2 linked regions of the Mus musculus genome follow. The protein of the gene in region 1 binds, or shares a complex with, the protein of each later gene. Links are inferred from orthologs where the notes say so. Each region holds a gene or a part of one and is shown on either strand. Other genes may lie near its edges.

Region 1 (5,122 bases):
TTATCTCAGAAGAAACACACAAAGATACACTGGGCATCTGGAAACTAGGATGTGTCTTCCCTTAAGGGTGAGTTCAGTGCCACAAGGTACACGGTTACATTTTCCAAAAATGAAGATTTAGCACACTTAATTTGATGGCCACCATGAGAAAAGTTTTGTGTCACAGAGGCCCAGCCAGGCATGGATTTCCTGCAGTGGCTACAAATCTCACAGGAGGAAGAGAGAAACAGCACAAGGGCCCATATCACAGCCATCCAATGGCCTTTCACAGGTTAGGGTGGGGGTGGAGACAGAAAAGCAAGAGTAGGAAACAGGACTCCAGGCAGTATCAGAAAACAAACTCAGTCAAAGCCTAGGAACAAGAATCGTAAGAGGCCTGATTGCTCAGTCAGCCTTGCTAAGCCCTGGCGATGGCCTCAGGATCTCAGGAAGTAGTGGGTCGCGTTCCCTCGGGGCTCGGCTCCAGCTTACACCTCCATCCAAGCTAACAGGAGCATGTGGGTGGGTAGTGTTCCAGAAGTGACTATTCTGCACTCAGAAACAAAACTGCAGGCCAAACTTTTCAAAAATACAAAATGCTAGGTACCTAGAGTTCTGACAAAAAAAAAAAAAAAAAAGATTTTGAAAGGATGCCTCTCCTTTGAAATCAACTATTCTATACAATGTTCTTTACGCAATGTATTCTCAATAAGTAAGATAGGTTGCTGCTGTGTGTATGCTCTTCAGAAAAAAATTCTCAATTAAGAATCCGAATAAAGGACTGTTGGCAGTTTATTCTTGGTTTTGGTTTTCCGTGGGTCTCTTTTATTTGGCTTGGTTTTCTAAGAAAGTTTAGGGCTGGAGAGATGGCTCAGGGGTTAAGAGTACTGACTGATCCTCCAGAGAATCTGGGTTCAATTCCCAGCACCTTCGTGGCAGCTCACAATGGTCTCTAATTCCAATCCCAAAGAACCCAGCACCCTCACACAAGCAGGCAAAACAGCGATGCATATAAAATAAAGATAAATTTCTTAAACAACTAGACAGCATTTACCTACCTCGAGGTATCAGGAAATACGTTACATTTTAAAACTAATCTAAGCCATTTCTGCATTTCAATGGAGTTACCCAAAAAAGTTAATTGTACTTTATATTCAAGTCAACTTTTTGGTTTAAGCGGAGAAATACCCAGAATGCAGTCAAAATCAAAGTCCAGAAATTAAAGAAAGAATCCGGACCATCTCATCTCTACCCCATAGATCCCTGAAGCTGAGAGTGGAGCTGTGCAGTCAGCAGGCATGCATTTGCCTGCACAACACACTGTGTATACATTAGCCACATGCACACAGGCAGCACTGCTCTCAGCCTGATGCACAGCAAGTGGGAGCTCTCCCCAGCTAACACCAGCTGACTTGGTTATTTTAATTACCTATAAAAGTGTCATTGCGGTCACCCAGTCACCAAATTGGTTGGGGGGGGGGGTAAATACCGCCTAGTCAATACATTTGCTGATCTATGAAGGTCCCTGAACCTAATAATAAATGACAGACAAGGGAAGGGGGGGGTGAAAAAAGAGACAGAAGTAGTTTTATCCTCACATCAAAAGATCAACGGTAAATTACCACAGGGGTAAAAGGAAGGACCCCCAACTTCTAACTGAACCTCGAAACAGCCTCAGGATAAAATTCGGGGTGATCAGGAATCAGCCTGCTTACAAGAGTGGGAGCAGGGGGACTGTGTCACTCCTGTGTCTTTGTAGGCCAAAATCATGCTTGATTTCTTCATCAGCATGAAAACAGAATGACACTTCCAAAGTTGGCAACAATTCCTCTTTCTCCACTAGTCTCCAAGGGGAGAAAAAGCATCTATGCCACCCATAATTAAATGTAACTAATTACAATTTGAACACTAAATTATTTATCCAGTGTAAACAAGGACTAAAAGGAAATAAAGCTTCTATCTGCAGCAGGGGTTCCAGAAAATAATTTGCAATAAATGCATGCTCTCCAAAAGTCAGCACCCTCCCCCCCAGCACCCTCCCCACCAAAATTGGGCACACAACTAAAATAAGTTGAGTTTTTAAGGCTAAATTAAATAGGCCGTTCAACCAATTTTCCAATTATATTCTACGCTTGAAACATAATTGCCTTACATCTGTTTACAAATCTTTGCTCAATATTTAAACAAATTCGTACTCTCCCGGGCACATAGCTACACACACACAGTAACTCAGGCACAAAGCGCGTATTTAAAGACCATGCACTCCCATTATCAGCGTAAGCGCCGGGTTTAACAACGCGAATGTTTTCAGAGCTAGGTAATACGACCCAATAAAAAGCAAAGATGGCATTTACCACCAAATGTCACTGCCACCGCCAGGAAAGAGTTGCTGGAGCTCTATACATTTTTAATTTCGACGAATCGAGCCGCCGTCGCCCGGTGCCAGGCTTCCAGAAGAACAATTGACACCCTAAATGGTTCGAGATTAAGGCAGGCGATGCACTTCCAAAGCAAAAGTTGTCAATTATCAGAGGCGAGAGCGGGAGAGAGGAGAGGCGAAGGCAGATAAAAGCGATGTTATCAAACCGCCCAGCTTGTTGCTCGTGTGTGTGTGTGTGTGTGTGTGTGTGTGTTCCTTGTTAAAGCAGAGAAAACAGTTTTTAAAGGCAGCGGAGGAGAGCGAGGAGCAGCAGCTTCCTCCACCTTCCGTGGGCTCCGAGCAATGGCTCTCCCGCTCTCCGGCGTAGTAAACCCCGAGAGGCGGGCGGCTGTCCGTGTTTACAACGGCGCGAGCGAGCTCCGGCTGCCAGAGTCCTTTTCCCTGACACCATCGCCTTCCATCAACTGTTTTCGGGCGAAATCGCAGGTGTCATTGTGGAAATATTAAAAGGAAAAAAAAGGGAAAAAAACGGAGAAACAGAGGAAGAGAGAAAGAAAAAATCAGAAGGCAGACGCCGGCGAGTGGGAGAGCAGCCGATCCGATCGGGAGAGAGAGAGAGAGAGAGGACGAGCCTGCAGCTCACCCGCGCCGGCGGCTGCACAAGGCAGAAAAGCCTTCCACATTTCGGGGAAGGAGGAGAAAAAAGAAAAAAAAAGAAAATAAGGGGGGAAGGGGAGGGGAGGGGGTGTGATTGCCACGGAGGTGGGCGCTCCGAGCGCGCCCCGGCGTCCGCAGCGCCCCGACTTCCCCACGCACGTCCACGCCGGGCGCCGCGCTCGCCGACGCCGCCAGGGCTCCGGGAGGAGAAAGTTGCGCGGCGGGGAGGTCGCGCCCCCCAACCCGGGCTCCCCCCCGCCCCGCCACTCACCAGCGAGAAGAGGTTGGAGTGACAATCCTCCAGGCTCGCCCCGTTCGCTACCCAGTTCGCCGCGGCGGTCATGGTCCTCCGCGAGCCCGGCCGCCAGAGCGGGGCATGTCGGAGCGGGCCGGGCCGGGCGGCGGCGGCGGCGGCTCCCGGGCACCAGGGGCGCGAGGCCCGCGCGGGAGGCCCGAGGGCGGCGGTGGCGACGACGGCGACGACGGCGGCGGCGGGGGGCGCGGGCCGGCAACGCCGCCCGCCTCTGTCGCGCAGGGCCGCCGCCTCCGCCTCCGCCTCGCCGCCTCGTCGGCCGCCTTGTTTATCTCCAAGCCGGCGGGCGACTCGCCCTCGGCCGCGCCGGCGCGGGAGGCACGCGAGCCCCGCAGCCGCCCCGAGCCGCCGCCGCCGCCGCCGCCGCTGCGCGAGCCCGCGAAGGGGGGGGTGCGGACGAAGCCAGCGGGCGACCCCGGCAGCCGAGCGCCGTCCCCTCCTTCCTCTTCCTCCCCACCCCCCCCCTCCTCCCCAGTCGGCCGCGCTTCTCCTCCCTCCCCGGGCTCGCTCGCTCTGACAGCAATGGCGGCCGCCGACCGCGGCTCGGCCCGCCATTGGCTGCGGCGCGTCACGTGACGGGCGCCGGCCGCGCGGGGGGCGGGGGAGGGGCCGCGGCGGCGGCGGCGGCGGCGGCGGTGGTGGCTCGCGGGAGGCGCTGCTGAGCCGAGCGAGCGCGGCCCTCTCGGAGCGGGGTGACGGAGCCAGGGAGGGAAGAGAAAGAGGTGCGGGCGGCCGTGGGACGCCGGGGCTGCGTGGACGCCCCGCCCTGGGCGCGGGCGCGCGTCGGGCGCGGGCCGAAGAGGGCCGCGGCTTCCCCGGAGCGGCCTCCGAGCCCCCCTGGGGGAGCATCTCGGGTCCCCGAGGAGCGGCGTGGGCCGGCCCGGCCTGGCCGAGCGAGCCGAGGAGTGTCTCCTCCTCGAAACCTCGCGCGCGACCGCCCGCCGGCCTGCCTGCCGCAGCGCACCGGGCGGAGGAGTAGGACTCAAAGAGACACAAAGGCAGCGAGCGAGGTGCTTGCCCGGGGTCGCGGGATTCGAACCCAGGCATCGGGAAGCCAGGGCTCGGGACTCACTGCCTCCCGAGCGCTGAGCTCCTAAAGCATCCCGGCTGCTGGAGCCCTTGGCGCCCACTCTGTGCGTGCACGCAGGCATTCCTTACATAGATGATCCCAGCGCTCTTAGGTGCCACATTCACACTGGGCTATGTGGAGGGGAGCAGGCCCTTCCTCCAGCTCCAAGCGGTCAATAATAACCAGCATCCCTTCTTCAGAGAGTAATGGGACTGGGAGAAGTGCTGATGCCGGAGACTGCCTTCCAGGACTTTTCGTCGTGGAAATAGAGAAAGGGAGAAAGTTGACTTGGAAAGAGGTAGAATTAGGCAGGCGTATCTCTATGAGTTCCAGGCCAGCCTGGTCTACACACTGTCTCCAAGAAACAAAGGAAGAGTAAAACGCTGGAAAGAGCGGTGGAAGCAAAATAAAGCGGGCACAAATCTGACATATGAATGGAGTTTTGAGACTACCACAAACCTTAAACCCTGGAATGAAGGTGGCCCGAACACATAGGTCATTTCACAGAGTCCTCAGAATCGGGGTGCAATAGCATCCCCAAGGTCCCAGTTACTGAGTGGCTCAACTCCTGAACTATCTGAATTCAGGAGGCTCTGGAGAGGATGCCAGGAGCTGGCTCTGCTACACCTAGCTGTGACCCTGCCCAGCAAAGTTTAACTATGCCTCATTTTCTAATCTGTCCAAAGCAAATCCTAATTGCTGACCTGCTGACCTCAAGCCAAGG
Region 2 (4,793 bases), on another chromosome or scaffold:
TAGCCTAGCATACATGATTCTTGTTAAGTATAGTTTGTTTTGTTTTGTTTTGTTTTTCGAGACAGGGTTTTTCTGTGTAGCCCTGGCTGTCCTGGAACTCACTCTGTAGACCTGGCTGGCCTTGAACTCAGAAATCCACCTGCCTCTGCCTCCCAAGTGCTGGGATTAAAGGCGTGCGCCACCACTGCCCGGCATGATTCTTGAATTAGATCCCCAGTACTGAACAAAAATTTAGGAGTAACAGCATATACATGTAACCCAATGATCAGATGGAGGCAAGGAAGAGCAGTTCAAGGTCGCCATCCTCAACTATGTAAGGGAGTTTGAGGCCAGTTTGTACTACATGAAAAACAAAAATTTTTTTAAACTGTAAATTATCAGAAATGTATTCTTCAAGATTCAAGTTGTAACCTTGTTGCTTAAATTTGTTTGTTTTTGGGGCATGATGGATCTCAGCATAAGAGAGGCAGAGACAGAGGCACTCAGATCTGTCAGTTTGAGGCCATCCTGGAGTATGTGGACAGTTCTAGGCCAGCCAGAGTTACATAAGATTCTGCCTCAAAAGAAGCAAAACTAAAAAGCATTGCATTTAAGTAATTTGAGAATATAAGTTCACACCATTCACAAACTAAACATATGTTCTCACTAGTCCTAACCCCTGAAGCCTCATTTAGTATTTCCAATCAATAAACATTTCTATTGTTTTGCTGTCATTATTTCAATGTAAAATTCTGAATTGTCATTGAAAAGCTAACCTGGTTGGCTTTCTAAGTTGCAGTGTTCTATTTAGCAGCACTGTCATAAGAAAGAAAAATATAAATGAAGCTTACTCAATACAGCAGCTAGTGTTCTGTCTTGTAAATTCATTCAAGACCCATTATTAATCTGTTCAAAAATATTTATTGAAAAACCAACTCCATGACAAGTACTGTATATATTATAGAAATGAACATGGAGTTTCCAGATGGCAGAACAAATGTTAATATTGCTCTGTGTTCCAATCTACTTTAGCTCTTAAGAGCTGAAAACAATCCACTGTAACTCCCTAGCCACATATGGGGTTTGTTTGCATCATCTAAAAGTCTCTTGAGTTTATGACATCTTTCTAAGCTCCTAGAATAGTTCTTTGTAAACACATTCCCTGTAGACACAGTAGGCATACATATTAACTCAATTATCAGTACTCCTAAGACTATATCGTATCCTTAACATCCTAACTATAGGACCTACATGAATATGCATACTTAGGAGATGAGCTTCTACACAGCATTATTAAGATTTGTAAAACCAAAAAAATTTAAATTAAAACAAGAAAGACTTGTAAAATTACAAAAGTATTTTCTTGGGAGAGGTTGGCTGGCAGCCCAGGGAATCTTTGCAAAACAGAATGTACCTTGGTGACTTCATCAACATTTAAGAGATAGCCCCTCAACTTTAAAACTACTTTATTTACACAGAATAGACTAGTCTTCCCACTAGTAGATACACAATTTCAATGTACTCTCAAAAATGATGAATTACCAAGAAGCCTTGTTATAACATTCCTGTTTAAAAAACACTGTCCAGAGAACTAGGTATTTAGATTTTTTTTTTCAGCAGGCATATACTGTGTAGGCTCTTCTACATCAAACTACAACCAGAATGACACTAAGAGATTTTAATTACCAATGGAAAACTGTTGCACTATTTTTGTTGTTGTTGTTTTGGTTTGGTTTTTTTTTTTCGAGACAGGGTTTCTCTGTGTAGCCCTGGCTCTCCTGGAACTCACTCTGTAGACCAGGTGGCCTTGAATTCAGAAATCCGCCTGCCTCTGCCTCCCAAGTGCTGGGATTACAGGAATTAAAGATGTGGGTCACCATTCCAGGCTCAGTATTTAGTTTTCCATTCATGTACAATTAAGCCAGAATAACAGCCAGAGGCGACAAAGTTAGAGAAGCTAGCAGTTTTCAGGAGCTTTTGTTGTAGATTTTGATTACTGGGCTGTTTTTTTTTTTTGTTTTTAACGCCAATCTGGTCTCCACAGTGTGCAGGTCAGCCAGAGCTACACAGTGAGACCATCTCAAAACAAAACAAAAATCCCTCTTGTGTACATTCACTGTTCTGTGGTACTGTGCTGTAAGAGCTTCACTCCACCTATAAGAGCCTCTTAGGGAAGATCGTAAAGCAGACTTAAACAAATGCAAAGAAACGGAGAGGCCAGGATCTGGCCTCTTCTAGACGTTACTCTCCAACCATTGGTGCTGGAGTCGCCAAGAGCGGAGGGAGGAGTGAAGGCCTACAGAAAGCAAGGCAAGCTCACGCCCTGGTCACTCATACACCAACCTACAAACACTCAACACTTTGTTGTGGTCTTTTGTGTTTTGTTTTCTGAGATGGGCTATCAAACTGGAGCTCAGGCTGGCCCGGAGCTCGCTGCAATCCTCCTGTCTCAGCCTCAGAGGTGGAATCACAGGAGAAATCCGTTTGGCAGGTTGAAATTGAAACGCGAGGGAGGGATACACACAAAAGTGCTTAGGCGTGTGCTGCCCCACAAAGGAAGTTCTAGAAGCATCCCTGGAACTTGAGTACTCGCTTCCTGGCTACCTGGCCGCAGACCTTGAGTCTCCTCAGGAGAGGCCGTCGTCGGGTCCCCTCCTTATTAGCGGCCACTCGTTCCCTTCCTCAAGTTCGCACCTCACCAGAGGCCCCGGGTCCCATGGCTCTCAGGAGAGACTGGCAGGTCCCACATCCTCTCAGGAGAGACCCCCGGGTCCCACCTCCCTTAGGAGAGACTGGCGGCTCCGACCTCCCCTCAGGACAGGCCCCCGGGTCCCGCCTCCCCTCAGGACAAGCCGCCCGGCCCGGTCTCCCCTCAGGACAGGCCCGTCTCCTCAGACCCCGCCCTGTGGACTACGTGAGACCCAGGCCTCACGGGGTGCGCCGCCCGCGGCGACCTCAATCTGCGCGCTCCCCGGGGCCTTGCCTCGCCCCTTCCTCCTCTCTCCGCGTCAGGAAAGCAAGGCTGGCGAGCAGAGGAAAGCCCTCACCGAGTTCACAGCGTCCTGCAGCTGAGTGAGTCTATCCGCCATGTTCACCACGCACGCAAGGGTGCGCAAAAGCTGCTAGAGCGCGAGCGATTGGCCAATTTATGACGCCTCCGGACCAATCACAGGCCTTCCTCCTTGAGGGGCGTGGTTAAGGAAGCATGCTGCCGGGGAGGGGCGGGGCCAGCCTGCGGGCCTGCTGACGTCAGGCGGGTGGGATCCAGGGCTGGTGTGGGGGAGGAGGGACGCGTGCAGGCTGAGCTGCTACGGGTTCGCGTTTACGCTGGACCGAGCCTGTGAAGGGAAGGTGCTTCCTCCATTCTGTCTGTTAGCTCTGACGAGGCTATGCCTCACGGTGTAGTCCTGGCTGGCCTGGAATGTGTTTTGTTTGTGAGGGGTTTTGTTTTTGTTCGTTCGTTTCTTTGTTTTGTTTATCTGGAACACTTGTTTTCCTTTGCTTTTACTTTGCAGGTATACCACAAAGCATACTCGCAGCCCGCCATTCACAACATTTAAATTCGAGAAATTAACATTCTCCAGGAAATCAAAATGGCTAGAAAAGGGTGGCTAATTAGTTTGGGGCAGGAGGTGCTTACCCAACTGGAGACTAGATTAGTGCTTTAATTCTGAGTGGGAGTGCCTGGGGGAAATGGAAAGCATTAAACAGCTCTGTGATGAGGAACGGGTGATAAGTAAAGTGAAAAGGAGGAAGAAGAGCATTTGAAGGTAGGAGGTGCAAACTCTGTAGACCAGGCTGGCCTCGAACGCAGAAATCTGCCTGCCTCTGCCTTCCAAGTGCTGGGATTAAAGGTGTGCGCCACCACGCCCGGTCTAGGCAGGTTCGATCTTAAGAAAGATCAGCTTCAGAATGTAAATTTAGAACTGGGGCTTCCTGACAGTTTTCCGTGTGAAGGGTGATAGCAGAAAGGTCATTTCTGTTAGCCTGGGGATATTCTGATGGGAAGTGAGTCCTGAATCTGCAAATACCTGGTTTGTGGAACTCAGACAAACTGTTTATCATAGTTTCCAAGATGATCATTTCTGGAGTTGGAGGTGGGTGGGTATGTGAGCCTGTTTTTTGTTGCTACAACTGAATAGCACAGACAAGCAATTACAAAGAACGTTTACTCCCTACAGTGTTCTGGAGGCTGGGAAGTCCACTATCAAGGTGGACTGTCATCGTGAGAGAGCCTTCTTGGTGAATCCTAACAGAGGAGGACATAACAGATGAGGAGGTTGGGAGGTATCCACCAGAGAAGACTCCTCAGATGTGGTTTAAGCCAACAGATAGTCATGATTAGCCAGCCATCGACTATACTGGGTATTCAGGATCCCAGCCTTCCTCAGGGTGAACTTTCTAGCACAAAATTCGTATCTTGAGTTGACATGACTCAGTTAACAAAAATAGTTGGGTAGAAGTGTAACTACAGAAACCAAAAAGCAAGGTTAGTACATTTACAGACTTTCCCAGAACTATGGACTTTGATATGGACTTTTATTTTCGTTTTGGCAGGTGGTGCTGCCTACATCCTCAGTTTTATGATACTTCATCGTAGAGTAAGTTGTGCTAAAATCCGGGCCTGTTACAAGGCAGGGCAAGAGAGCACACGTCAATCACATTATAGCCCATCAACATGAATGGGCCCTTAAGGGGACCTGAAGATCCCAGTCACTTTCCAAAGGTCTCAAATCCTAGTAACACATGACTTTGGGATTTAAAATTCTAGTAGATGGAATGGCATTTTGAAATCGAGGAAATAATTTTGAGGA

The links.
Region 2: Med13l (region 1) and Med21 share a complex: the UniProt entries of both Homo sapiens proteins name them as parts of the mediator complex. The link is inferred for Mus musculus from reciprocal best matches to the Homo sapiens genes MED13L and MED21.

What each region holds. Positions count from the first base shown.
Region 1 is NC_000071.6:118,559,023-118,564,144, reverse strand, and holds the start of Med13l (mediator of RNA polymerase II transcription subunit 13-like), read right to left. Parts: upstream 3,427-5,122; 5' UTR 3,360-3,426; coding exon 3,288-3,359; intron 3,284-3,287; exon of another isoform or gene 2,334-3,283; intron 1-2,333. UniProt on the Homo sapiens protein: Component of the Mediator complex, a coactivator involved in the regulated transcription of nearly all RNA polymerase II-dependent genes.
Region 2 is NC_000072.6:146,640,886-146,645,678, reverse strand, and holds the start of Med21 (mediator of RNA polymerase II transcription subunit 21), read right to left. Parts: upstream 3,101-4,793; 5' UTR 3,069-3,100; coding exon 3,027-3,068; intron 1-3,026. UniProt on the Homo sapiens protein: Component of the Mediator complex, a coactivator involved in the regulated transcription of nearly all RNA polymerase II-dependent genes.